Linked DNA regions of Coturnix japonica. The protein of the gene in region 4 binds, or shares a complex with, the protein of the main gene of each other region. Links are inferred from orthologs where the notes say so. Each region holds a gene or a part of one and is shown on either strand. Other genes may lie near its edges.

What was found.
Region 1: TMEM67 (region 4) and B9D1 share a complex: the UniProt entries of both Homo sapiens proteins name them as parts of the tectonic-like complex. The link is inferred for Coturnix japonica from reciprocal best matches to the Homo sapiens genes TMEM67 and B9D1.
Region 2: TMEM67 (region 4) and MKS1 share a complex: the UniProt entries of both Homo sapiens proteins name them as parts of the tectonic-like complex. The link is inferred for Coturnix japonica from reciprocal best matches to the Homo sapiens genes TMEM67 and MKS1.
Region 3: TMEM67 (region 4) and TCTN1 share a complex: the UniProt entries of both Homo sapiens proteins name them as parts of the tectonic-like complex. The link is inferred for Coturnix japonica from reciprocal best matches to the Homo sapiens genes TMEM67 and TCTN1.
Region 5: TMEM67 (region 4) and TMEM237 share a complex: the UniProt entries of both Homo sapiens proteins name them as parts of the tectonic-like complex. The link is inferred for Coturnix japonica from reciprocal best matches to the Homo sapiens genes TMEM67 and TMEM237.
Region 6: TMEM67 (region 4) and TMEM216 share a complex: the UniProt entries of both Homo sapiens proteins name them as parts of the tectonic-like complex. The link is inferred for Coturnix japonica from reciprocal best matches to the Homo sapiens genes TMEM67 and TMEM216.
Region 7: TMEM67 (region 4) and TMEM17 share a complex: the UniProt entries of both Homo sapiens proteins name them as parts of the tectonic-like complex. The link is inferred for Coturnix japonica from reciprocal best matches to the Homo sapiens genes TMEM67 and TMEM17.

Annotation. Positions count from the first base shown.
Region 1 is NC_029529.1:5,249,675-5,253,964, forward strand, and holds the start of B9D1 (B9 domain-containing protein 1), read right to left. Parts: upstream 2,801-4,290; 5' UTR 860-2,800; coding exon 773-859; intron 680-772; coding exon 611-679; intron 1-610. Other genes in the region: CACNA1H (voltage-dependent T-type calcium channel subunit alpha-1H), read right to left, coding at 3,164-4,270. UniProt on the Homo sapiens protein: Component of the tectonic-like complex, a complex localized at the transition zone of primary cilia and acting as a barrier that prevents diffusion of transmembrane proteins between the cilia and plasma membranes.
Region 2 is NC_029534.1:119,462-123,555, forward strand, and holds the start of MKS1 (Meckel syndrome type 1 protein), read right to left. Parts: upstream 2,801-4,094; 5' UTR 1,738-2,800; coding exon 1,658-1,737; intron 1,580-1,657; coding exon 1,402-1,579; intron 1,196-1,401; coding exon 1,040-1,195; intron 683-1,039; coding exon 585-682; intron 385-584; coding exon 256-384; intron 1-255. Other genes in the region: BCL7B (B-cell CLL/lymphoma 7 protein family member B), read right to left, coding at 3,954-4,046. UniProt on the Homo sapiens protein: Component of the tectonic-like complex, a complex localized at the transition zone of primary cilia and acting as a barrier that prevents diffusion of transmembrane proteins between the cilia and plasma membranes.
Region 3 is NC_029530.1:5,160,147-5,164,152, reverse strand, and holds the start of TCTN1 (tectonic-1), read right to left. Parts: upstream 2,801-4,006; 5' UTR 2,696-2,800; coding exon 2,539-2,695; intron 1,962-2,538; coding exon 1,841-1,961; intron 424-1,840; coding exon 293-423; intron 1-292. UniProt on the Homo sapiens protein: Component of the tectonic-like complex, a complex localized at the transition zone of primary cilia and acting as a barrier that prevents diffusion of transmembrane proteins between the cilia and plasma membranes.
Region 4 is NC_029517.1:114,030,023-114,033,522, reverse strand, and holds part of TMEM67 (meckelin), read right to left. Parts: intron 2,870-3,500; coding exon 2,715-2,869; intron 2,596-2,714; coding exon 2,487-2,595; intron 1,071-2,486; coding exon 984-1,070; intron 307-983; coding exon 241-306; intron 1-240. UniProt on the Homo sapiens protein: Required for ciliary structure and function. Part of the tectonic-like complex which is required for tissue-specific ciliogenesis and may regulate ciliary membrane composition.
Region 5 is NC_029522.1:9,988,128-9,991,699, forward strand, and holds the end of TMEM237 (transmembrane protein 237), read right to left. Parts: coding exon 3,499-3,572; intron 2,577-3,498; coding exon 2,509-2,576; 3' UTR 501-2,508; downstream 1-500. UniProt on the Homo sapiens protein: Component of the transition zone in primary cilia. Required for ciliogenesis.
Region 6 is NC_029520.1:292,621-296,494, forward strand, and holds TMEM216 (transmembrane protein 216), read left to right. Parts: upstream 1-1,456; 5' UTR 1,457-1,569; coding exon 1,570-1,582; intron 1,583-1,688; coding exon 1,689-1,790; intron 1,791-1,855; coding exon 1,856-1,948; intron 1,949-2,036; coding exon 2,037-2,238; intron 2,239-3,087; coding exon 3,088-3,103; 3' UTR 3,104-3,374; downstream 3,375-3,874. Other genes in the region: TMEM138 (transmembrane protein 138), read left to right, coding at 1-150, 871-946, 1,037-1,149. UniProt on the Homo sapiens protein: Part of the tectonic-like complex which is required for tissue-specific ciliogenesis and may regulate ciliary membrane composition.
Region 7 is NC_029518.1:2,315,324-2,319,406, forward strand, and holds the start of TMEM17 (transmembrane protein 17), read left to right. Parts: upstream 1-1,283; 5' UTR 1,284-1,312; coding exon 1,313-1,472; intron 1,473-3,028; exon of another isoform or gene 3,029-3,344; coding exon of another isoform or gene 3,345-3,447; intron 3,448-4,083. UniProt on the Homo sapiens protein: Transmembrane component of the tectonic-like complex, a complex localized at the transition zone of primary cilia and acting as a barrier that prevents diffusion of transmembrane proteins between the cilia and plasma membranes.

The DNA.
Region 1 (4,290 bases), on a different chromosome or scaffold from region 4:
CCGGTGTGAGTCGGTTGAGCCCGGTGTGAGCTCGGTGTGAGCTCGTGTGAGATGGTTGTGAGCCCGGGTGTGAGCTGGTGTGAGCCCGGTGTGGAGCCCGGTGTGAGCTCGGTGTGTGAGGCCCGTGTGAGCCGTGTGAGCGGTGTGCGCTCGGTGTGAGCCCGTGATGAGCCCGGTGTGAGCTCGGTGTGAGCTCGGTGTGAGCCCGGTGTGAGCTCGGTGTGAGCTCGGTGTGAGCCGGTGTGAGCTCGGTGTGAGCCCGGTGTGAGCTCGGTGTGAGCTCGGTGTGAGCCGGTGTCGAGCTCGGTGTGAGCCCGGTGTGAGCCGGTGTGAGCTTCGCTGTTGAGCCGGTGTGAGAAGGTGTGAGCTCGGTGTGAGCAGTCAGTTGTGAGCTGCGGTGGTGCACGCTCAGTGTGACTCCCGGTGTGAGCTTCGGTGGTGACCCGGTGGTGAGCAGGTGGAGCTAGGTGGTGAGCTCAGTGTGGAGCTCGGTTTGAGCTCGTGTCAGCCCGAGTGTGGAGCCGGTGTGAGCTCGGTGTGAGCCCGGTGTGAGCCCGGTGTGAGCTCGGTGTGAGCCCGGTGCTGCCGGGGGCACAAAACGAGGTCTCACCGCTGCGGGAACCCAGTCCTGGCCGTAGACGAAGCAGAACTTGCAGTAGAGGTCGTCGAACCCAGGGAACTGCAATGGAGAGGCTGTTAACGGGGCCGGGCCCGGCCCACACGGCACAGACCGGAGATGGGTTACGGGACCGAGGACCGAACAAGGCCTCACCTGCCCGCTCTCGATCTGCCCGTTGACGGCCACCATGAAGACGCTGGGGCTGCTGGCGGCCGCCATCTTGCCGGTGGCCGTTGCCATGAGGACGGACGGAGCGGCGGAAGGGACAAACTATGCGGGGAGGGGCCTCGGAGACCCCCCCCCCTCAAATTCGGGCGGCTCTTTCTAAAGAGCACGGGAAATGGCCGCTAGGTGATGCTGCAATGCAAGGAGATCGAGACAGGGCTGTCAGGGGGGAGAAAAGCTTCGGGTCGGGGGTCTCTGAGGCGCCCACCCCTCGTTATGTTGGGTAATTAATGGTGCTTTTCCAGAATCCCTCATTAAACCAACGGGAAGGAATAACTGCAATAATCCCCCCCTGGCTGCTGATTGCACAGAGCAGGCAGGTCCCTGGGGATGCTCACAAAGTCAAGCCAGGCTTCCAGTTTATACAGTTTAATACATGTGAAACAAGATACATTTCCTTTCGAGTAATGAATGCATAAACAACAGAAGATATACGTGGATGCATAAATATGAGGCGGCATGGAACGAACCAAAGGAGAACGGTTGCTTTAGTTCTTTCTGTTGGTTGGTTGATAGTTTTTCCCCTCCCCAATGTGTCTTTTTGCTGCTGGTGTTGCAGTGCTGGGGCTGATGATGCTCATGGTGTCAGTGCTCTGTGGTGAAGCTGATCCGAGCAGAGGGTCTGGCTGAGGAGTGGGGAAGGAGCAGGGAATAGAGGCTACGAATGGAAAATCAACCCCCAAAACTAAATAAATGTATATTAAAATATATTAAAACGGTGTTCACTTGAACTTAAAAGGCTCTGGAATGTGGTGGAGGAACGTCTATGTGGGTGTGGGTTCAGGTTGGATATTAGGAATAATTCCTCCTCTGAGATAGCGCTGATGCTGGCAGTGCTGCCCAGGGATGGGTTCACCACCCTGGGGGTGTTCAGAACAACAGGGGGACGTGGTTTGGTGTCACAGTGGGATGGGGTTGGGTTGGGGATCCGAGGGGCCTTTCCCAGCCTCACTGGAGCTGATTACCACTCTAAGAATGGAAGGGGTTATGGCCACCATTGCGACCTCACAGCCAGGAGGAGAACAGATCCCAGCCTGCTCACATGGACCGCCACCAACAGCTCTTTGCACCTCGACGTACTGCACCAACAACCTACTTCAAACTGCAGGCAACAAAATACATGTCTTAAATAATTCACTATTTATTCTGTGAATCTCTTCAGATTGAAATTTTTCCCTTTTATTGTTTCGCCTCTGTTTGTTGTTTGTTTGTGCAATGTGGGACACCTCGTTTGTGCGCGGTACTTCAGATTATTGCAGCGTTTAACCTGAATTTCTGTTAAAAAAGGAGGAAGAAAAAGAAAACGAGCGAAAGGATCATTGTACAGACGAGAAGAATGAATAACTTATTATTGCACTGGCTACAATTCAGTAGTGATTTGGTTCCTTGCTGTTGGTTAGGACACAACCTCTAAAGTACAAAGGGAAAATGAAAGGGGCGGCGGAAGGAGGAGCTGTGGGCTGATGGTGGCGGTATAGGGGGGAAAGGAGAGCAAAGGAAGAGCAGAAACATTTGGACAATGAAGGGCTGTAAGAATCAGTTCCACATAAAACCCAAAGAAACACCACCCGGTCGCGGAGTCACACGTAATGCAAAAAACCAGTATTGTTTCTCTATAAAAATATGTGCATTATGAAGAAGAAGAAGAAGTTTTTTGTGAGTATTTTTTCTTGTTTTTTTTTTTTTTCTTTTTTTTTCTATTTTTTTTTTCTCTTTTCTCCTCGTTTTGTATCTCACAAGTACATCGTTTCTATGTATATAATTGCTGATATACAGACAACGTACAGCTCCCATTCCCCAGGGCGCTCCCACGGCGTGTGACGTCTCTAAAAGTGCCTTGTAAAAAGTTGAGCATCTTTAAAAACAAAACAACAACAACAAAACAACAACAACAAAAAGAGCCCCCTTACCCCCCACCCCAACGACAAAGAGAACCCTCAGCCCCCATCCGCCTCCACCCGGATCAATGTGACCGAGGGCGCAGAGGACTGAGAGCCACCCCCCCCCCGACCACATCCACTTTGCCCCCTCTGAACCCCCACCCTGAAACCCGGCACCGTTTCATCCGTTTGTTTGGTTTCTTCTTAAATAATAATAATAATAATTAATAATAATAATATTTTTCTTCTTTTTTCTTTTTTTTTTAATGTTTTTTGTTTTTGTTTTTGTTTTTTTGCAAACCTCCACAGCGCTTAAGAAGAAGGGACTGCTTGAAAGGGAAAAACCAGAGTGTGGCCACGCGGCCGCGCAGCCCCTTCGGTGTCCAACCCCATGTCGGTGTCAAGCCCTTGAGACCCCCCGCACCCCCCTCCCAGACAGCTATACGGGCTCGTCGATGTCTTCTTCTGTCGCAACAGTCACCAAGTCCTGCATCCGGACGGGGCTCTTGGCCACGCTGAGCAGCTCTTTGCTTTTCTCACTGTTGCTCCGTTGAGTTTTTAAAGGCTCCGGCTTTCTCAGTTCGCAGTCCGGTGTGGATCGCCCACTGTCCAGCAGATCCGAGAGGCTGCTCAGGGAGCCGCCATCCGACTGCTCGAAGGAGAAGCCGGGGATGGCCAAGTGCTGTGCACGGCGCTCTGCTTTGCAGCCCGGCTCCCCTGGCTGCGCCTCCGCTGGCTCCAGGGGCTCTCGATATGCTGGGAACTCGCAGGATGGGGTCCTGCGGCGCAGCATGCTGTTCTCAGAGGGTTTGGTGCGTGAGGCCGCCCCGCCATCATCCTCCATGGGAGGATCTATAGAAATACAGGGCGGGCTCATCTTCTTCTTCCTCCTGGCTCCATGGATGTACTCGGACTCCGGTTGGATGTGGGCAGGGGAGCGCGGCTTTTCCTCGGTGCGCTCCTCGAAGCCACAGTCCCCATCGCGGACGGAGGGGCAGATCTCGATGGAGTGTCGCCTTTGGTCATCCGCCCAGCTGGGCTTGGTGAGGAAGCCCTTTGTATCAATGCTGTAAAACTTCTTCAAGTCCCTCTCCTTGCCGCTGCCTGCCACCAGGCTGCTTGTGCTGCAATTCTTCAGGGGCACCGGCGATGTGGCCGGCGAGACGAATGGTGATGTGGAGCAGCTCCCAGCCTCCGAGTGCTCCCCCCAGTCTTTGGCTGAGCTGTTAATGTGGCGAACCTCCTCGTCAGCCAAGTCGGAGGGCTCCAGGAGGCAGCCCTGGGGGGTTGGGGGGCTCTCGGTGGGACTGGGGACCCCGCGCTGGCTGCAGGGGTGTTTCTGAGTCAGTGATGGGTGCCGGTGTGGGGAGGTTGGTGGGGAGCGTGGAGGGGAGGCTGGCAGGGAGGAGGCTGCAGGGTGGAGAGGGCTGGGGGTGAGGGTGTGCTGAGGGTGCTTTGGTGATGGTGGCATCTCTCCATGCTCTGCTTGCAGGTTGTCCTTGGGGTCTAGAGTGTGTCCATCCACCGAGTCCTTCCGAACGGCCTCCTGGAATCAGAGAATCAAGA
Region 2 (4,094 bases), on a different chromosome or scaffold from region 4:
AAACACAAAGCGAGTCTCAATAGAGCACACACTTGTTCTGGAACAGGGGGTACAGAAAGGCACAGATACACCCATACAGCCCTACATTGGTTTAAAAAACCTTTTGGAGGGACACACTCAGTACCTCCCAAAGAAGCAGAAAGAGCAGCTGGAGTTACACTTGGAATTCCCTCAGTTGAAGAGAGAAGCGGCAGATTTGAGAAAGGAGATGGGTTTGCTTCTGGGAAATCAGGATCGCTTCAGGATTTTACTTACTTCCCATAAGGTCCCAAGTCCGCCATGATGTACATCGTCTGAACAGGAGTGTTAATCACGTGATTGTTCTTTATGAACTCTTCCGAGGGCTCCCAGGTGATGATTTTTGACTTGAGAGAACTCCCATCTCTGCCAGTCACAGAACAGCACAACTCACGGTCAGCAGAACTCGCACCAGCAGCCGGGCACAGACCCACCAAACAAGAGTCAAACTGCCAGACCTGAGTCCAGCACAGCTCAAGCCAACAGCTCCCACAGAACAGGCTGCCCTGCAGCACGGACACCACGACACCCACATCAGCCAGTTCTGAGCCTCAGTCTGAACTCACAGCGGTTTACGGTCCTGTCTTCTCCTCCTCACATTGGCCATCCTCTCCGCCAGGTACGAGGGCACCTCACAGTCTGAGTCAGTCACCTTCTGGCCGTGCTGGAACAGAGACACAGAACAGAACTCGCTTCATGACAACAGGACTTTTCTCTCAAATGCAATTCTGCCCCTGGAAGCCAGAATAAGTATTTGTACATGCAAGTATAAGGGATATTTATTCACAGCCATGTGCCAGCTGTGAACTTCACTAACAACACAACCCTGCCGAGCCAAGTGCCTCCATCCCAGCTGCTCCTGCCCGTCGCTCTGCAGTACGGAGCCGTCGTTCTGTAGCACACAGTGCAGAGCAGCGCCGGGCACGCTGCACCACGGCCACAAAACAACGAACGTGCCCCGTGCTGGTCCCGGTGCTGCCGACAGACGGACGCTGCTCTGTGCAGAACCACGGGCCGGTACCTCCTCCATGTTGGTGAACCGGTCGTGATCGGTGTAGGTGAAGATGCGGCGGTTCTTGCGCCCTCCGGCTCTGTCCAGCTTCAGGATCTCCTCGTGGTACTGCCGGTCCAGCGGAGTCTGGCAGGCTGACTCGTGTCGGTACAGATCCACCTCGAACTGAACGTCACGGGCACAGTTAAAAGCCGCGTTGATTCACCACGGCCGGGCCACAGAAGTTCCCGGCCCGGTGAGCGGCGGGGACACGGACACGGAACGGACACGGACCCGGACACGGACATGGACACGGACCCGGACACGGACACGGACACGGACACGGACACGGACACGGAACGGACACGGCGCTGCCCGGCGGCGGTTCGCACCTGGCTGAAGAGCTTCTGCTGCCATCCCAGCTCGGCGCTCTCCTCCTCGGCCGGGGGTCGCCCCGCAGCCCCGTGCCCGGTTCGGGCGCTCAGCCCCAGCCCCTCGGGGCCGCCGCTCGGGGACAGCGCGGCCTGCGGCGGGACGGGCCCGGCGGCCGATACCCGCTGGATGTGGACCCTGCGGGGAAGGACGGAGACATCGTGAGAGCGAGCGCGGACGGAGCCGCAGCCGGGGCCGTGCGTGCCGGGCGCTCACCGCAGCCGCAGGTTGCGCACCGGGTCCCGGGAGCGGTACACGCCGCCGCCCGCCTCCGCGCTCCACAGCGGCGCCGCCATCCCGTCACCAGGGACGCGGGGCGGCGGCAGCGCCCCCTGGCGGCAGCGGGGAGCAGAGCGCGGCCGGGAGCGGAGCCGGGTAACGAGCGGAGCGGAACCGAGTGCGGTACCGGACGGGGGCGATGGGCGGCGGGAAAGGAGAGGGGAGCAGCGGCAGCAGAACGTCTTAACGCAGCCGCCTTAACGAAGCCGAGCAGCGATGTTCTGAACGGGAAAAGAGACGTTATCTCAAGTCCGACCAGTTCAGCCGTGGTGCTCTGAGCTGCTCTGCACGGTCACACACTCTTCAGAAGTTCCCACACGTTTCAATGATGTGCCCGCCTGGCAATGCATGGCCGCATCCAGCCAAACCTCAGCGACCCCCACAGCTTCGTGTTCCTGCGCTGTGACCCCTCAGAGCCGCCCTGAGCCCCCTCCACGTTGTGGGCCCTCGGTTCAGCTCTGCCCGGATACACACAACAACCACGTGCTGAGCGGCCCCGGACTGGGGCAGAACACACAGCAAGTGCTGCTGTGAAACACACGTGACGGTCGCACAGAGGGAGCTGCACCTTTGGCTTAGATTTATACGCTCCATTTAATAAACCGGAAAATAAGAATCATTTTTTGCAATGCACAGAGATGAATCAAAGGCTGCCACAAAGATACCTGTGGGCACGTGGTGTTAATTAACCTCGGTGTGGGCTCTCTCCCATAAGGAAAGGCTGAGGTGGAAACCCAGGGCCCGTGCAGTGCAGTCAGGGTGCCCAGGGCAGCTCCCCCTGCGGCTCTTTGTGTCTGCCCTGAGCTGTGCCCCGACATGGGCTGCACACAGGGCCGCTCCCCCGGCATCGCAGCGGGACTTGTGGCTTTAACACACACCAGACGTTCTGCTACAGGACTGTGGCTGTGTGTGACCACCAGATCCAGGGGCAGCTCACAGGGATGCAGCCCAGAGGAGCCCAGCTGTCCATGGCGGGGCCCTGCAGCCTCCAGCCCAACCAGCCACCAGGGAACAGACCCCGTGCAAAGCAAAGTCCCGGTGCCCGGCCCACACCGTGCTGAGCACCGGGCCCGAGAGCTGGCACCGAGCTCAGGCCTGGAGCAGGAAACTCCAGCCCGGCTCAGCCCGGTGCTGCCCAGCGCCTGCTCTGAGCTCCTGCCCCAGCTGCTGTAGCCCACGCACCTGCAGTCACTGAGCACTGTATTTCAAATAGTTTAATTTTAAAAATATTCTATTCAGTGCTAAAATATCTTTCCACTTCCACGCGCAGCCGCACCTTCAGCTTCGCCAGGCTCGATCACAGACGGCAGGACATGCAGTGGCGGTGGGGGGGGGCCCAGCGGGGTGGGGAGCGTGGGAATGGGGGCATGGGAGGGCTCCATGGGGCTCCTGCACCCTGTGTCCTGTCCAGGGGACGGGATGTACCTGGGGAGCGGGGCGGGCAGGAGGAGCAGGGTGCAGGTCCAGCTGGGACACGGCAGTGCCGGCTGCCCCGCTCCATCCCAGCCCCTGCCTGTCTGGGGCGGACAGAGGCTTCTGTGAGGGCCTGGAGGCAGAGGAGCAGCAGGCAGGGCCGATGTGTCCAGTACCTGCCCTCCGAAATGGCAGCACTCCTCCCTCTTCCAATACTAATGGCTTAGTAGCAGCTTATTGCACAGTGTCCCAGCGGCACGGAGGGCCGTTGTTTCCATTCTCAGGGCGCTCCCCCCCCTCCCTCCTCTGCCCTTTGGACCTACACCAGGAACGCCCCAGACTGTGGTCACAAGGGAGCGGACACATCACTTTCTGCAGGTGGGACATGGCTCTTCTGTTCCCAGCACAGGGGACAGGGCAGACAGTGGATCCAGAAGCAGGCAAACAGCATCTGCCGGTGCGTTAGGGGTGACAGAGAACAGGGCATCCCAAGGATCCCTCCCCCCACGCATGCAGACCACGCACCAGAAACCCCATGCCACTACAGCACAGATCAGCAGGGAGGGTGGGAGCCAATAAATAGAGGCAAATTTGCAGGTACTGGTGGCAGCCCCATTCAGCTGGGCAAATCACTTGCAGGCTGCCTCTGCAGGGGCTGGTGGGAGGCTCCTGCCCCCGAGGGCAGGGCAGGCTGGATGGCGAGGCAGCAGGGGTGCCCTGTCCCTCGGGAAGGGCAGGACAAGGGAAGCACCCCATTCCCCAGGGAAGGGCAGGCAGCTCTGCGAGGGTCTGGCGAAGGCTCTCCCCGGGGATGGGCAGGCTAGCTCTCCGAGGCTGTGTGGCACACAGAGTTCTGATCAGCACAAAATCTCTTCAGAGGCGGTGCGCCAGAGTCCTCCTCCTCTTCAGTTACCTGCAAGAGCCAGAGGTCACCAGCAGTGACAAGAGCTCAGCGTGCCCA
Region 3 (4,006 bases), on a different chromosome or scaffold from region 4:
TATATATATTAAGGAAAACATCACTTTTCAACTCTCAATTTGCCAACAGAAAATTAGATTAAAACTGTTAATTAAGCTTAGTTAGAACCAGGAGCGTGCTTTCAACAGAGAGGATTAAGACTTGGAGCATGAGATAGTTTCACAAACAGAAGTATTACAACATAAGGACCGTGAGTGCACAGAATAATCAGTTTTCTGACAGGTTTAGTTATTGTTAATTTTAGTCTATTTTTGTACCTAGAGAACTTATAAAAAGAGATGTCTAATAAATATTGGCAACAACATTACTTACAGTTTGTAGCATGGATGCAGAAAACACTGGGATTTATGTGGTCAACTAATTTAAAAACTCTTCCTGGTGGATTTGCTTTAGTATCAAGTGAATATATTGCAGCTTTCTGACTACAAAGATGGCTGTCACCTCTGCAAGTAATAACAAAAAAATCAGTGATCCACTAGAAGTTACTGCTGACCATATTTTAAAGTTCTCTTTGCGTGCTGAGGCAGCAAATGGGTAATTAGGCAGAGTTAAAGCAGTCAGTGGCAGGGACTGAGAAAGTAAACAGCTTTTAGAAATGACCTTTTAAGCACGGAGCTGAAGTTAAATGATGAGGTGAAGCACTGGTTAGTAGTATCACAACCCGTATCAAACACCCTTTTTCCTTAGAGTTTGAGGTGCCATATGTAACCTCTCACCTGTGATCAGGCAAAATCCATTCAGCAATTACCACAATTACACAAATGTCCATAAATCCAAATGTAAATAATGAGATCCACAATACTTGCAGGCATTGGAAATTTCATGCAAAAAATGAACGTTTTATAGAAAAGAATTTTTGGGGACAACTACAGCTTCATTTAATGCATTTCTAGTTGACAAAGACAGAACAGTCACCTGAGGCAATTTAACTGTCATTCAGGAAGGCGTTGATTAGACCTTTCTGATATATCTAAATATCTATAAATGGGTAGCAGTAGTCATTATGTGCAAGAACAATAAGAAATGGCAGTCTGGGATGACTGCTAATTCAAATTTCAAAGCACCAAGAATAAACCCCAGCGTTGAGATTGGCATAATTTATGCAGAAGGTGGGTTGAAATGCTGTACTTATTGTTCTGAGAAGCCACCAAGAGGTTTTATATTAAGATAATAAAGTGAGCTTTCATAACTCGTTTTTGAGAGGATGGAATTAGGTAAAGGTGTTTTCAGATAAACTGTAAATAGCAAGGAAGTAACTATCCATGTTACTTCATGCATATAATGTTACATTCTACTGTTTGTAAAGTGACAGATTGGCAGCGAGGCAGCAGGCTGGGACCATTGATTTGTAAAACCAGGATCAGAGCAACACTCACACTATTTCATTAAGCCCTGAATTGATCATGTTTCTAGTTGATACTGTAAACCTCAATTAGAGGTTACTGAGAAGCTACTGCTGGATTATGGAGGTGGCCAGATGGTCGTGTGGCATCAGCTTTCTTAAATTCCAGACACTGCATTATATTGATGAAGGTCTGAAGATACATTCTTCATCCCCCAGCATAAGGCTTCATCAGTTGAGCACCCACACATAGTAGGACAGTACAACAGGAAGAAAAAGGAAGAAGCACAAATTTAGAAAAGAAGGAATGAGAAAGTGGGCCGGGAGGCCAATTTGCTGTTCTGCCTGGTTGGGAGCCAAAACCTGGTGCTGCAGGGATTGGTAAAAAGGTGGGCAGGGGTTAGGATGGCACGGGAAGAGACTGGTTAGGAATTTGTAAGAGGAGAATATAGAACTCATGCAAATACACACACCAAATAAGACAATTTTGTATTTCAGATAGCTGTTTATTCACTTACGTGACAATAGGAACCAAACACGTTGTAAAGAGACTGAAATCTGCTTCACTGCAGTCAGGGTCACAACAGCAATTTACATCACACTGTGCCACCAACAGATCACAAACACACAGCTTGGCAACTGGAGAAAAGATTGAAGTTAGAATTAGGACTGGAACTTTGCACACTACAGCATGTTCCCTAACACTTTCAAGTTTCACCTCGCCTTCTTCTTGACAATGGTCAAAAGTCTATATCCAACTTTATGCTGGTTTTTTGTGTTTTTTCTTTTTTTTCTCCTCCAGGTCATTTTTTGAGAGTTCACAAGTATTTTAGGGGCAAATAACAAAGCCAAGAGCATACCAGAATCTGACACTTTTTTTTTTTTTTTTTTTTTTTTTTTTTTTTTTCCCCTATGAAACTGAAAAAAGCAACTGTTTTTGGGAATTTTCAAGGTATGAAGGTACGAAACTAGGTCCGGAGCAAGAAAAGATACAAACAAGGCAGTGATACTATCTTTATCTATTTGTTACAAGGTAGTGAAATTCTGTTTATCAGTTTGTTTCTTGTATTTGGATGAAAAAAAACCCAAACATCATTTTGGTAAGAGCAGTCATTTACAACGACAAACATTTGTGATTTGTGTCGTGATAGCACTATATATCCACAGAAACAGGATTCCCCTCGGGCCAAGCCCCCCCACCCCACCCGGCACCCACCGTCCGTGAGCGGGGCCGGCCCGCTGCGACCCCGCTCCCAAGCGGCAGCACGGGTCTTCGATGGCGTCTCTGGGCTGGATGGGAGATCAGTGCTGGGCTCGGCTGCACGAAGCGGCGATAAGAAAAGAAGCAGGCCAAGCCTCAGCGCCGCCACCATGACGGACACTGCTAGGCCGCCCCTACAGACAGACTAGGCCTCCCTTAGCAACGGCCTAGGCCTCCCTTAGCAACGGCGCGGTTGCCAGGGAGCGCGGTGTGTGATGGGAAACAGCGCCCCCTGCTGGGCATCATGGGGTTCCACAGAGCGGCACCTCAGTGTGTAGGACGAGATGAATCAATAATGCATGTCCGCCATCAGAGATACATTAATTTATCCATCAACACGAATTAATTAATTAATAATTTGAAAGAGCACTATGTGGGAATGCCTATGAAATGAAAACTCAAGCAGTTTAAAATGCAGTAGGTTGCTGTTGAGGGATTTACTGCATTACTGTGTTACTTTAAGCATCAAGGTTTTGATGTGTTTAAACATTATAGACTGTATTTGTGATCCAAACATTGCGGGATTAAGTCCAATCAAGGGACTGGTTATATACAGAATCAACATGTGTATCTGATGCAATGCTAAAATAAAGCAAAAAAATACTACCTACATTTCGGTTTCTCTCCTTTAAGTATATTTTACTAATTGAGCAGGATTCATTTTCAGTCCTATAACTAACATAGACCATAGCCCCTCTAAAACTGTTGTAAATAGCTGAATTATTGCTACACATGCAAAACTTGCTGTTCTCAGAATAAATGACACCAGAGTTCTCAGAGTCCTGGACCAATCGATATTTATCCTGAATGTACTTAAAACTATTCGGATCGAGGTGAACAAACTGGCAGAGTCACTATGTTCCTCCTCATCGGGGAAGATGTCAGAAATTCTGCTTAAGGACATGTATCCTTCTGATTAAATAGTTTAATTTCATTTTTGGATGTTTAAGATAACTGAGAGTAGGACTGGTTTAATAAACAGGGTCTTCATAAATGACAGTGGATGAGGTGCTCGAGCTGTTTGTTGGCTGCCCTGGGCTGCTCTCTTTGGACACGCCATGCAGATGGTTTGTAATAGACTTGGAAGAGATTTCATCCTGAGGAAGTTTGCAGTAACAAGAAGTACTCGTGGTTGTGAAAGAGCTCCTGTAGGAAGTGGATCCTGGTTAAAATCAGAAGAAAATCCTGTGAGGAAATAATTTTGTACGTGCCTCAGTTTAAGTATGGATGCACTTCAATATGCATATTCTAAACAGATATTCTCAGTCTGATCCATTCAAAACTCTGGCAGAAGTAACAGTCACCGTTAACCTGCAGTAGTTTGTGTTTTACAGAGAAGCTGGGGAACTTGGGTGAGGTTCTAAAAGAACCAGTGGAGAAACGGATTCATGACATACATGAGCTCTCCCAGGGTATCACAGAG
Region 4 (3,500 bases):
TTAGAAAGAGCACAAACACTGCAGTCATGGAATATTGTGTCTGCTTCTCTGCTCACCAGCATGAGATGTACATTGCTACTTGATACAGTTCAGTACAGGGCCATGAAGACATTAGAGGGACTGGAGCACTCTCCTATAAGGAAAGGCTAAGAGAGCTGGGGCTGCTTAGCCCTGAGGTACTGATGATATGCTATGCAATTTAACTCAAATATTCAGAAAAGCAATTTCTCTCTTACTTACACTTTGTTTATAGGTTGTTCCAAATATGTAAGCTGCATTCAATTTCGTCTGGGTATCAGGACAAAGCTGAACAAAACACAATAATAATTAGGCTAATTCAATCAGGCTATTGTTTTCTGACACTAAACATTCACAGGTACCCCAAGCAGTTTATATATTCAGCAGGCTCACAAAATATACACTGAGTTGTGTTTTATTTTTAAGGATTGGAAGGCAGAAGCAAGACGATTCATCCTGACACAGTAACAAACAAACAGCAGTCACCATCTAAACCCTGAATGTCAACTATTCTTCTGCAGATAATGAAGCATTTAAAGCGAAGTGCACCAAGAGTGACATGAAGAGCTTAGAAAAGAGGATGGATAATTCCTGATTGTTTTTGCCTGTGTTCCTCTTATTGCCTGCCTAGAGAACTGCTGAGAGCGCCCACATCACTGCTGGACTGCTAAATAAATTATACCCTGTAATTTTCCATAGCCTAGAATTTTTGCTGTTTCTCAGAACTTCCAGGTATTTTAAATGGATACTGGCCCAATGGATTATGAGTTGCTGATTTATACTCCTCATTTTGGAGAGATCTTGAGCCTCAATCAAGGCTTATTTTCCCTAATCTAAATATATTTATCTTACAAACTGTCACTGCTGTAGTAATGAAACACTTGGCTTTTGTTTCAAGGCTTTGGTTGAAGGCAATCAGAACACTGCACTATCAAAAAAACAAAAGGCAATTAAATCAAGCCTACCTGCAAGAGGCCTCCTTCCAAACTCTGCCATTTAAGGAAGTTTCCTGCTGCATCATACGAGGCTGCAATAAACTGCAGTTTCACATCCTGATGATTAAAAAAAAAAGAGACAAACAAGAAAACCCTTTAGGAATTATTGTCCCATTGTTCTACATACATCTAAAACTTTCAGCATAATGGTTTATTTTTCCACCTTAGATTTTATACTTTTATTTTAAATATTTTACTTTTTTAATACATAATTGTCTATATACACATACACACACACACACATATATATATATTTTACAGACTCACTTTTTGCTTTTTTTTTTTTTTTTTACCTCAAACTAAAAAGCTTCCAAGAGAACGACTCGGTTTCCCTTTTGTGCACACACATAATTGTAGATATATCAGGCATTTGCTCAACTCAAATTCACAGTCGACACAAATTACCTACAACCTAAAAGCTACAAATCCATACTATTGTTGGACTTCTACCAGATCTATGCTTATTCAACTACTTCCACATTTGGCGCTGATCACACTGAGCTTTCTTGGTGTATGAGACCCTTATGTCAGGCCTGAACCGATGACTGAGCAGCTAGTGAGAGGACATGGCCAGGCCTGAGCGCACAGCTGCAAACAATAAACCTGTGCAACTAGAAAGGGTGGACTCCCTAACCTTGTTTAAAGGCTGGCAGCCTTAAATGACTGTACAAAACACTTATTTAAACTTAGCGAAAAAGAATATGACTCTTACTTTTTGATTACTGCTGAGAGGTCTTTCACCTCCTATATTTATCTCAGTGCTGACAGGTAAAGGTAAACCTAACAGAAGTAACAAACGCTGAGATATTTTGATTGACAGTGACAAAACAGCTCAATTATAACACGACTTTTTCTATTTTGCTGGAAGGGATTTAGTTTATTGCTTCAGCCTCACACTTCCATTTCCTATAGATATATAATAAGTATTTTGTTTTATAGTCCTCTATAGGATGTAGGTATTTCAAGTAAGGGAAAGACATATAACAACTTTCTTAAGATTTACAGAAATTGAAGTAAAGAATATTGGGAGTGAAAGACAATGCATAACTTCCTATTAACTTTGGAGAGGTATAAAAGATCTGTCTAAATACTGGTTTATCACTGCCAATCCAGAAGAATCCTGGAAACTTATTAAGGACTTAATAGCTGGCTTGTTTCCTGTGTGACACACAGTTGGTCCTGGTCAGATCACTTAGGCAAGCTTATCTTTGCATTATTAATGTGAGTGTACGAGTATGAGCAACAGAAATGTGTGTGCAAGTGAGAGTCCGTAAAATAATATTTAACTGGAGATTTTTTTTTAACAGGAATATCATTTTCTTCTTCCATACAAATCTCCCACTGCATTTTATTACACCAGCTGCCTAAAATTCATCTTTAGTGGACTTGAACCTATAACAAATTGAAAACTTTTCATGTGATGATGTCCTCTTTCTAACATCCACTTCTCTGTGCCTGTTCCCTATCACTTACCTCACTTCTTCCTTTAAAACTGAAGATTGTAGGCAGATGGTTTGTCTCAAGCACTTGGGATGCCAATCCTGGTTGATCACCATAATACAGCCATGGCAGATTATGCCTCCTGAAAAAAATTACAGTGTTTTCTCTAAAGAAACACAACATTTTAAATCAAAGAACACTTATAATAATAAACTCCGTAAACACAATTCAAGATGGAACGTAATGGAAAAGGTAACTTACCAGTACACTATTGAATGGACAATGCCTAGCCTTGCTGTATTGGCATAAATATATTGAAACAAACTGCAGGCGTCTGTACTTGAAGAACTCAGTGAGTTCATATTCATCACACACATATTTCCAAGAGCTTGGCAAGCTGTCAGATTAGAGTACAACTGCAGTGGAGAAACACAGGAACACAGAAAAAAGAATCTATGAACTCCTTTTCATGGGATACAAAATTTGTTATCTTTAGTCATTCCTAAATCTCATCTTCACTTGAAAGCGATTTTGTTTTGCCAATGCCTTATATTTTCTTTAAGTTATTCTGGTTCTACACTCTCACAGGTCTCCAAATGGCAGCATGAAATCAATGCTCTCACTTTTTTAGGGAGGTTTTTTGGTTGCATTATCTAGATGGCATGATGAAAAAAAATAAATAAATAAAAAAAAAAAATCTGCATTTGAAAAACATGGTTTTATTATGGCTGCAAGCTAAATAAATATCCTCTTTTCAGCTTAGTACTTATTGTAGTCTGCTGTTTTTAAACCTTGTATTTACACAATTGTTCAGTTTTGGCCAACAAACTGCTGCCACATGATGGGCAGAAGTGATTCCTGGCAGCTGTACAGTCGCCATTGCCCACTGTCTTTGCATGGGGTCAGATCAGCAGCTGCACAAACATTCAGGCAGAACCTTTGAAGAACTCAACAGGCTGAAGGAGGATAAACTTACTTAAGGGGTGAGAACAGAGTCAGTTAGTGAGGCTGAAGGGAATTAGGAGGATACATCTCAGAGTGGTGTGT
Region 5 (3,572 bases), on a different chromosome or scaffold from region 4:
CCGCTGTCAGGCTGCGTCCCACAGGGCATCCACGGAACTGCGCTGCACTACATCGCTGAATCATGGCGCTGGGAGGGCCCCTGAAACGCCTTGTGGTCCAACACCCTGCAATGAACAGGGACATACGCCAGATGAAGGTGCTTGCAGCCCCGTGCAGTCTGACCTTGAGCGTCTCCAGGGACGCGGCAGCTGTGCTACCTGTGCCACTGCCTCACTGCCATCATTATAAACACTCCTTCCTTAAGTCCAGCCTAAGCAGCCGGAATGCTCCTGAAGCAATCCAGACCTCAGAAAGCACAGAGCAGTGAGCATACTCGCTGGTTACTGGGGTTTTACAGAGCTATTTCTGAGTGCAGAAGGCCAGAACAGTGGCAGGAGCCTGCTGGTGGAAAGAAAAGACAGCCATTACTTACAGCAGTAATGGAAACACACACAGAAAGCAATGTTTTCCCACAGCATCTGCTCAGAGTTTGTATACAGTAACAAAGTTAGCACTGAGGAAAAAACAAGTTAGACTGTTTTATTTTAAACAAACTAAACAATCGGAAACAGTTCAAAGTAGTACAAGCTAATATTCATTCAGACCACTTCCTCACCTGTTTCAGATACTTAAAAATTGGCACTAACTTCTCTGCAAATTTTTCTTGGACACAAAATACTGTATCAAAAACCATTGTAAATGCACAAAGACATTTCAATTAAGGCTTCTACATATGCCACATGTTCTGCAATTAAACATCTATTCTGTAAACTTTAAGATGTTCTAAAATTACACACACACACACATACAAAAAGCAGTTAAATTCCATTGTGATGCTTAATGGAATGAAAACTACCTTGTAAAAGAGGTAATAAGCCATGAAATTGTTTATCTGTGATTTTGAATGGCAATCCTCAAACCTCTTTCATTCATTTAGGTTTATATATTCTGGTGCTCAAAAAAAAGGTACAAACTAGGAAGGCAAGTATGGCTTGAACTACTGATTCCATTAAGTCCAAAAACTTCATCACTGCTCAACCATGTAAGCCAACTATTTTCACAATGAGAGCAAATCTGGTTCCTGGCTGGCACTGCTTCATTTGTGGGATACTTAGAAGGCCAGTTCCTAGGAATAATTTCAGAAATGAAATCAAGCAGTGATGTCCTTCATGTTTATATTGACTGAATGCCTTTGCACGGTTGTGTTTAACCTCTGTACCTTATGAGAGAAGTTATACTTTTTATCACATGCCAAGATGACAGAAGCATGAAATGGCAAATACAATCCATTAATAATCTCATATTCAGGAGCTCAGCAATTCTGTAAACCAAACACACGACACTCAAAGAAACTGTGATGTGCATTTCCTGCTTTGCAAGGAAATTCCTGTGTGGAAACCTATGTGGGAACACTACGTCGTGGCCTGAGCTCCCATCTCCTACAGCAAATCACAAGGACCTCTGATGTAACACTGATGGAGAGTAGCATCCTGAATCTCTTTGTTATAATGTACAATGCAGCACCAGCTGTAATTGAGCTCCACAGTTTTACAAGAACACATACACATCATAACAACCGACTAAAAAGTTAAAGAGTTCCTTCCCACAACCAAGTGGATGCCCTAAAGTAGAACCAGCAGCTATGGAAAATCTTTCAAGTCCAGAATAACTTCTTTTCCCCCTCTCTAGAATTATGTAATTACTTACTTTCTAGAATTACTGAAATTTGTTAAATAAGCACACTAGAACCCTTGACAAGGCAGAAGCTGCCCTAGTTATTCATGTTCCCATTCTTGTTTTAAACCAACTTAGGCAGCAGTACAGAAACTTACTACCTCTTTAACATCTCCCTTTCACTCTTCCATCTGGCTAAACTCTCCATCACTTTTATAACACATTAACCTCCAGGGATCTTTGACACTGCACTCCTGTTAAAACCACCTTCAGATATATTAAATAAAATAATGCAAAACTCAGTACATACTAAATAAAACGTAAAACTAGTCCTGTGTGATACCTGCATGAGAAATGGATTTCAGACTAGCTCTTGCCTATGTCTGCTAAGGAGACTGCAAGACGTCTGCATTTACTTACTTAAACTGCTTTCTTCCTATGATTTGTTTTCATCTCTATGGAATATCTTAGAAAAAGGATATACCTCAACTGCTATCAGTATCAGTAACAAAACATAGATTGATGATGACAATATCGCACTGCTGTCAAAAAAGCACTGAATAGCAGATCTTCAGCACTCACCCATTTCCTCTGGCTGTGTAGGTAGCAATGTTTACAAAAGTGAACATTGACTTTATGTACTAAAGATAATCTCCTTTACAAAACAAAAAGGAGATATATAAAAGATTTCAGACATTTGAATATTTAAAAATTGGCATACATAAAAGACCCATGAAATATATACAATATAAAAATACTTTTTTTTTTTTTTTCCTTTATGAAAGTTATAATACATGGTTAAAATACAGAAAGTGTTGAGCCATCAGTTACAGCTACGAGGTGCATGTTCCGCACTATGGCTGGACCCTGGGTATGATAACTCCCTGGGGAAATTCCTCAATTTCAGTATGAAACATCAGTTCTGAAAGAAAGAGAAAAGGACACTGGTTTTATCGAACAAGTTTCACCTAAATACTATTTCATTATACCAAAAAAGATCTCTGGAATTTCCCCAAGCCTCCTGCTTTTCTTCGTAGCCCTTGTTTCAGTAATGGGAACACTCACCACTGTCTTTAGTAAAACTATAGTTGTTCCCCTAGGTTAACACAACTAGCACTGACATTAGCAGCTGCTTATAGGAAGTAGACTTCAGCCTGGACACTTGAATTTGTATTTTAAAGTAGACTGATGGGTTGTTCCAGTTTTGAATGTGTCAGAACCAAGACTGAAGATTTCCATTTAGAGACCTGATAATTTGCTGTCTGCCAACAATTTGCGGCAAAATTACACAATCTGTATGTGCAGCACTGTTTTTTTTTCCACTCAAGTTGGAAATCACACACTTCTTTTTGTTTTGCCATTCCATTATAATTTCTTTACTACTTGGGATAAATCCAAACAGAAATTTTCTCTTGAAATTGCTAAAGCATATTATGTAATTTTAGTTGACATCTGAAAATATCTAAAATCTCATCAAAACCTGGGCTATATCACACCTCTGTCTTCCTTGAATAAGCCTTTTACTACTTAAGAATGACTTGCAATTATAATTTAGACACCTACTGTAAGTTTTACTTTCAGTAATTGTAAAAGCTGCCAACTAATTATGTGTTTTAAGCTAAATGAGTTATTAGAATTAAGCAGGATAAACTGGTAGCAGCTGAAATATAGAAAGCTGTGAATTAACATTCTAGAGAAATCTGAAGAAGCACATTTAACCTTTGTCCTCCCAGACACAAATCTGTTCCTCATAACATTTCTCAGGACTACACTTGAGCACCCAATGCAGACCGCAGTAGATACAAGTCTGAACAAATAAGGTTTTGCCAGTTAACATTTCCTACCTTCACTGTGGTCCAGCTCTGGTCGGTAAGACAAGAAGATCCAACTTGCCCCAACCAGAATAGATACTACCAGA
Region 6 (3,874 bases), on a different chromosome or scaffold from region 4:
TTCAATGTCATCATCATTTTCCTCATGTTCTTCAATACCTTTGTCTTCCAAGCTGGACTGGTCAACCTCCTCTTCCACAAGTTCAAGGGCACCATCCTTCTGTCGGCAGCGTACCTGGCACTCAGCATCTCCTTCCACATCTGGATCATGGTAGGTTTGAGGCTGCTGGCTTCGCAGCTCCTTTCTCCCTTCTGTCCCTCTGTGCTGTGGGAGGAAGGCCATAATCTCCTACTTGTAGCTATCGGGCTGCCTCATCCCAGCCCCCAGCCTCAGCACTGCAACCTGCTTGAAAACCCACACAGAAAACCTTGCACAGAAACCCACCACAGCAGAGTGGTCCCCAGTGAAGGCCATGACAGCAGATCCTGCTTTGTTTACCTGGGATTAATCCCCAGCAATCACCAGCGCTCAGAGGCTGGAGTGCTGAAACCCTGCTGAAAAACAAGTCCCAAGGGTCCCTGCTGTGTCCAAGCAGCTTTGTACCCCCTCTTCCCCATCTCAGCTCCCCCCATCCTGTGCCACAGTCACCATTTGACAAGCAAAGCAGCCAGCAGGTGCTTCCTGTATGCTTTTCAACAGGAGAAAGGCCCATCCTGCTGCCCCTGGGCCAGGTCTGTGACTGAAGCTGACCCAGGGATGTTGTACCCACAGCGTCTGGGCAGGAGATTGATGGGGATTTGCAGGGATCTAAAGTCTGAAGCTAGAATAGGTCCTGACTCGCTGGCCAAATCCCCTGAGCTGCTTAATCTTTGGAGCTGCCACCAAGAGCACGACAGCCCTTGTGGGGCCAGCTCCGTCCCATCGGGATCATCAGTGATCCCATGGGTTCAGTGAAGCCCATGGGTTCTTCCTTGTTTCCGTCTGTGTCAGAACCTGCGCTGGAGGGATTCCAGCCGCTTCATCTGGACCGAAGGCCTGCAGACACTGTTTGTTTTCCAGCGGCTGGGTAAGGGCTCGTGCTTACTGAGGCAGCAGGAACCTGCCTGGGGGACACCCCAGCTTAGTCCCTGTGCCCTCATCTCCCTCCCTCCTGCAGCGGCCGTGCTCTACTGCTACTTCTACAAGAGGACTGCAGTGCACCTGGGTGACCCGCTCTTCTACCAGGACTCGCTCTGGCTACGCAAGGAGTTTGCTCACTTCCGTGGTTGATGGCCCCCACTGCAGGAGGGGCAGCTCCTCATAGCCAGGGGATGGAAGGTCTCAGCCCCCCCAGCTCCAGCCCAGCTGTGTTCCTCCTCTTCCTGGTGGTGCCCTGGGAGCTGGCAGGGTGCTCACAGCTCACAGCCCCTGGTGGGATTGGGGCGTTTTTGTGAGTAGTGAGGAAATAAATTGTCTGTATTTTCCAGTCCGTGTGTGCTGGCTCTCTCCTCTTTTATCACGCAGCTTCTCGGTGTCCCACTACTCAGGGCTGTTCCCATTGGGTTGCCCCCCCCGGGGGTCCGCAGGCACAGCGAGGGGCGGAATGGGGGATTCGAACCCGCGGCTCGGTCCTCCAGGGCCATAGAGAGGGCGGGATAGAGCGGCCGAGCGCTTTCCCTCCTGCAGCCGCGGTTCCCATGGAGATGGAAGATGGCGGCGCGGAGTGAGTGCGGGGCCGGGAGCGGGGGGCGGCGGGGCCGGGGGCGGAACGTGAGGCGGGCGGCGGGGCCTCGCCCATCCCATCCCATCCCATCCCGCGACCCCCACAGGCCGCCAGCGCTCCTCGGCTCCGCTGCAGGTCCTGCTCTTCCTCAACGGCTGGTACAGCGCGACCTACTTCGTTCTGGAGGCCTTCATCTTCGCCTACAAGGGTGAGCCCCCGCCCTCCCGCTCCTCCGCCCCCCGCCCCCAGCGCTGAGCGTGGCCGTGCCCGCAGTGCTGCTGCTGCCGTACCCGCTCACCAACCTGCTGCTGGACGTGCTGCTGCTGCTGCTCTACCTCAGCATTGAGGCCACGCGCATCTTCTTTGGTGAGGCCTTGTCCCTCTATCCCGCACCCCGTTTCCCGGTGTCACACTGTGTGGTGCAGCCTTGCACTGCTCACCCTGTGCCCCGCAGGTTCCAAGGGCAACCTGTGCCAGCGCAAGGGGCCTCTGGCCGTCTGCCTGGCCCTGACTGTGCCAGCAGCCATCATGGCGATCTACTGCCTGCTGCTGCAGACCTATGCCCTGCGCCTGGAGGCCATCCTCAGTGCCATCCTCCTGCTCTTCTACTCTATGGAGCTGCTGCTGGGCGGCCTGGCGCTCGCCTCCTTCTCTAGGTAGGTGGCGTGGGAGCAGAGGGAGCTCTGGGGGTTCTCCTGTCCAACCCCCTGCTAAAGAAGGTTTGCTAGAGGGCATTACAAAGGAGAGCACCCGGGTGGCCCCACCACCTCTCTGGGCAAGCTCCTTCCAGTGCTCTATTACCCTCAAAGTCAAGAAGTTTTTCCTTGTGTTTCCTATTGTTGGTTCCCTACTGCCCCTTCTTGTTACTACCACCAGGCACCTCTAAAAAGAGCGTGCCCCCACCCTCTTGACCCCTACACTTCAGATCAGATCCCCTCTCAGCCTTGTCTTCTCCAGGCAGAACAGGCTCAGAGCTGTCAGCCTTTCCTTGTAAGGGAAGTGCTCCAAGCTTCAACCATCTCTGCAGCACTCCAGCAGGTTCCTATTTACCCAGAGCCAAGGAAACCAGAACTGGTCCCAGCGCTCCAGATGTGGCAGAGCAGAGAATAAGGAGAACCTCTGTTGCCCTGCTGGCCACACTCTGCACAATGCACCCCATGGTCCTGTTGGGCTTCTTGGCTGTAAGAACACTGCTAGCATATGGACAACCATTGGTCAACCAGGACACCTGTTGGCATTCTTGGCCACAAAGGCTGGTTCATGGCCAACCCATAATCCACCAGGACACCCAAATCCTCTGCAGATCCCCTTTCTGTCAGCTCAGCCCTTAACCTGCACTGATGTATGCAGTTACTCCTCCCCAGGTGTAGGACGCTGCGCCTTGTTGAACCTCATCAAGTTCATCCCCCACCCAAATCTCAGCCTGCCCAGGTCTCACTGAGAAGCAGCACAGCCTTCTGCTGGTTGAGCCTCTCCTCACACATCCTCTCCTCTGTTCTTTGCAGCATGGATGCATACTGAGGCCCTGCACCAGAGGACCACAGCAGCGCAGGTACACGAGATGGCAGCAAGCAGGTGGCACAGGCTCCATCTCCAGCCTGTGGTGGTGAGCCAGACCCACACTGGCACCTGTGGGCAGTGCCAGGGCTGTGCCTGGGTAGCACCCACCCTGCTGCCACCCAGCCCCGAGGTTTGTGACACACAGGTCAGTCCAAGGTACAGACAATTTGTTTTTTTTACAGCGTTGTAAGAAGAAATCACTATTTTCCAATAAATAGTTATTTTTATCTGGTGCCTGGGCACGTGGCATCCCCCCAGGCCAGAGCACCTCATTACCACAGCCAGCCCCTGAGCCAGCATGGGAGGCACAGCAGCCCTTAGGAAGAGCTGGAAGATTGGGGGTGGGGGGGCGTTACAGAAGTGCTTGGCTCTTGCTGCCCATCCACACCTTCATCCCCTGAACATCCCCACCAGAATCTCTTGAAAAGCTCCATATAAAAGACTGACAACGTCATCAAGTTTATTACACAACTTCCAACCTATCAGAAAGACAAACAAACCTAAGTCACTGCGGGCAGAGGGGGGCAGCGCCTCGCCGGGTGCTTAATAGAGGTTCCTCTCTGCACTTTTCCCCCCCACACTAATTGGAAAGAAACTATAAATTTGTGTTGTTACGTAAAAAAAAAAGCCAACAAAAACAGAACTCACCCACCAAATGCTTCCCCCCAGTGCTCACCTGATGGTACTTGATGGAATTCATTGTGTGATTGTAGCCTAACAAAGACCTGTGGA
Region 7 (4,083 bases), on a different chromosome or scaffold from region 4:
TGTCTACCAACTTAGCTGGACTACTGTGGATACACAAAGATCCAATATTCCTCTGATTTAAAGCTTTCAGGCAGGTTTTCAGACATTTTTGTTTTATTTATAGCTAGCACGTGTGGAGAGAAATAAAATGGTCATGTAATGTGCTGTGCAGTTACAGTCTCATTTTGAAGCACAGAGTTGGAAATCCAGTTATTTCTACCTTAAGCATTAAGACAGGGATAGAAACAAAGAAACTAAGCAGCAGAATGTCTTTCTGTTAAAGAAACGCCAAAAGCAGCTCCATCACAAACACTGGACACTTAAGTATTTATACAGATGGTCATTGTAGCTGATACAGACACTTCATAGCTGAACTTCTTTCCTCCTTCCACCCCTTACAGCCCACATTGATATCCTTATGGTACAAGGAAACCCTGACCTGTCCAGGTGTTATAATCCATCAAGTTTTAATGTTCTCTTGCTTGAAACTTGAGCATGTGCTCCTCAACCCACCCTATAGAAAATCAGATGTCTGTTCAGAAAGTGGGCAAAAAATGTGTGCCTTAGCATTAAAAAAATACCCAAAAACCAAAACCAAAACCCATCAGAATGAGCAGAAACAAAGAGTATGTTCCATGATTCCATCTTCACTGAATATTTTAAGCATTTGCACAGACAAGAATGTTAAATGAAAACGCACACAGCTTTATTCCACAGGGCTGTGTCGGGTGCTTTGCCATCTGCTGAAATGTGAGGCTGCCAGATAGCACAGATTCACACCTCAGCTCTGGAAATTGAGTTCCCATGGCAAATCCAGTCACCTCTTGTGGTGTCTGCATTCCAACAGTCTCCCCTTCACCAAATACTTCTCTTTATACTTCGGTGACCGCTAAGCTGGATTTGCTTCACAGTCTCTGAAAGAATCACAGAATCACAGCATCACCAAGGTTGGAACAGACCTAAAAGATCATCCAGTCCAACCGTTCACCTATTACCAATAGCTCCCATTAAACTATGTCCCTCAACACAACATCCAGTCTTTCCTTGAACACCCCCAGGATCGGTGACTCTACCACCTCCCTGGGTAGTTCATTCCAGTGCCTGACCTCCCTTTCTGAGAAGTAATGTCCAGCCTGAATCTCCCTTGCCAAAGCTTGAAACCGTTCCCTCTGGTCCTATCACTAATGACATGAGAGCAGAGGCCAACCCCCAGTTCGCTACAACCTCCCTTCAGGAAGTTATAGAGAGCAACGAGGTCTCCCCTGAGCCTCCCTGTTATGGTTTTGTAATTTGGTTGGTGTTGGTATTCCACAACAGAACACCATGCCTAATAATGGGAGTAAAGGGGACAAGTTTTTTTTCTGTGGACTGCCTTAAATGGGCATGTGGGGAGTGGCACCGGAGGGGAAGTGGGGAAGGGGACGGGGTTGCTGGCCCGGCTCCCTGCGAGGAGACTACGCGGTCGGAGCTTCCCGCCTTCCACAGCTCCATCGGTGAGACTGGGGACGTGGTATTCTCTTTGTTGAAACTCTCTTGTTGTTGTTTAGCGTTATTAGGTATTGAACTGCCATTCATTCTCAGATCACCTTTTTTCTCCTTCATTTTTTGTTAGACCTAATCGCAATCTCCCTTCCCTTCCCCCCTCCCGAAACGCACGTGGCCGGGCCGCGCCGCCGCCGCGCCGTACAGTGCCGCTAGAGAAAGGGGGAACTTTTGTTCCTGCTCCCCTGGGTTTGTTCCCACTGTCCCGGAGTGAGCTCTAGAGAGAACTCCGTGACACTCCCCTTCCTCCCCTGAGCCTCCTATCTTCCAATAGGACTAAAGGGAATGGCTTCAAGCTGCACCAGGGGAGGTTCAGGCTGGACATGAGGAAATATTACTGCTCTGAAAGAGTGGTCAGGCAGTGGGATGGGCTGCCCAGGGAGGTGGTAGAGTCACCAGCCCTGGAGGTGTTCAAGGAACAATTGGACGCTGTGTTGAGGATCATGGTTTAGTGAGAACTATTGGTGATGAGTGGCTGGTTGGACTGGGTGATCTTGTAGGACTTTTCCAACCTTGGTGATGCTGTGATTCTGTGGTTCTGAGTCTGGCAGGAAATACATTCCTAGCACCTACTGGAAACTGGCAAGACAACCAATATAGATTGCACCTGTTAATGCTCAGAAGCCTAACCAACAATAATGTTGATTTTCATAATGTTTTCTGGTACATAAAAGCAATTTTTAAGCTCTTCAATTATTTACCAGGTAGTTAGCTAATGAGCCGGCATCCACTCCCAGATTTTTATCATTGAAACCATGGTACACCTCCAGTGCCCTAACAGCTCAGAGGTCCACATCCAGCCAGAACACAACCACAGTATGTATCCCTGTGACTGCAGCTCATATTGCTTTACTCACCCTACTTTTCAGATAGCTCTGGTAGCATCACTGAGCTGTGCTCACTGCTCCGCAGGCTGATCTTGTACCCTCTTCCGTGTGGCGCAACAGAAACTGCAAAGAGTGTTTCTCAAGACTAAACCTCACCTGTTTAATCTGCAAAATAGGAATAAGCCTCACCTGCAACTTAAGATTTATGTTACTAAGTGCGCTCACGCAGTAAAGCTTGCTGCCTGCCCTGCCTGTAATGGGACACTCTTCTTCCTCATCCCTTCTGGTCTCCAGTTTGGTTTGCTTTGATTTTTGGGTCAGTTGGTTGGTTTTCATTTGGGGGAATGATGTGCAGAATCAAACTCTATAGCCAGAACTAGGTTATAAAGCAGGTATGTGTTTATTCAGCGCTGGGCACATGGGGGATCACTCCTCCTATCATGTGCATTGATAGACAGGAGCGTTAGAAAGTTGTAGAGCAAGTATATACATATGAAACAGATTTCCAAGGAATCATTAGCATATTCATCGTTTTAGGGGAACTCATTTACATGCTGTCCCTCCTACTGACTTGTGAGCAGTCCGTATTGGGGTCTCACTCTGCTGGTCGTTGGGATGAAGTCAGAAGTCTTCCTCAGGTCGACCCTCCTTCTTTGACCCAGCTCCTCCACTCAACCCTTAGAAAAAGATCCTTCATCTCCATGTGAAATCTCTCTTACTGACCCGACTCCTGCTTTCAGGGAATGCTCGCTGTCGATTCCTGCAGCCGCATTTGACTGCAAAACTGGTTGGGATCTCCCTATATGCGCACACATCAGTCCCTATTATCAGCGCAGGGCACGAGCTGCTCCCCATCCCGGCGTTGCGAAGCGTTCCGTCCCTCAGGGATCCCTTCCTCCTCCCCGGAACAAACCGCTCCGTGCCTCGCCTCGCCCCAGCCCGGACCTTCTGCCGGAGCCCCACGGCGCCTGCGCTTCCCCGCCCCAGCCCGGCGGCATGTCGCTGCCCGAGCCTCTGCGGCGCCGCCTGGGCTCCTTCAGCCGCTCCATGTTCACCGACGGCCGCCGCTCCGGCCCGCACAGCCGCAGCGAGCGCGCAGGTAAGAGCGGCCGCCAGTCAGCGACAAACATGGCGGCGGGGCAGGTGGGGCGGGGGGAGCCGAGCCCTTCCACCAAGCAAGATGGCGGCGGAGACCGGCACCGGGCGGCCGTGAGGATGGAGTGCGCTGTGCTTCATAAAGCTCTAAGGCCCATCCCTGAGGACACGATCCGTATCCGTGAGGAGTGAGAGGTTTTCCTTTGTCCTGTTGCCAGGGAAACCTGCAAACATCCCACAGTTTTATCCCTTTGCAGTGACAGGAGCCACGGAAATAAACTGTGTGCACAGGCAGGTTGCGTTCATGGAGGTGAACATGAATTTCCACCAATAAATCCATCCCAAGTTGATGAAACTCCTTTCAAGGCAGGAGCACTCATTAACTTTATGTACTTACAGCAGCATAGCTATACTGCTGGCTTACATGTCATTCCACGTATCAAACAACACTGAAACATTCTCTTCTTGGCTGTCAGAACAGCTTCTCTCTCAGTCAAGTCAGTTTTCAGTCATGAAAGCTCTTATGAGGAGCTCTTATGAGGAGCTCCAGCTGATTGAAAGCAGCAGCAAATGTATCATGGATTTCAGTGAGGTCAGGCTTTCCAGCCTAAAGTTCACCCACACATACTGTAGGGAGTTG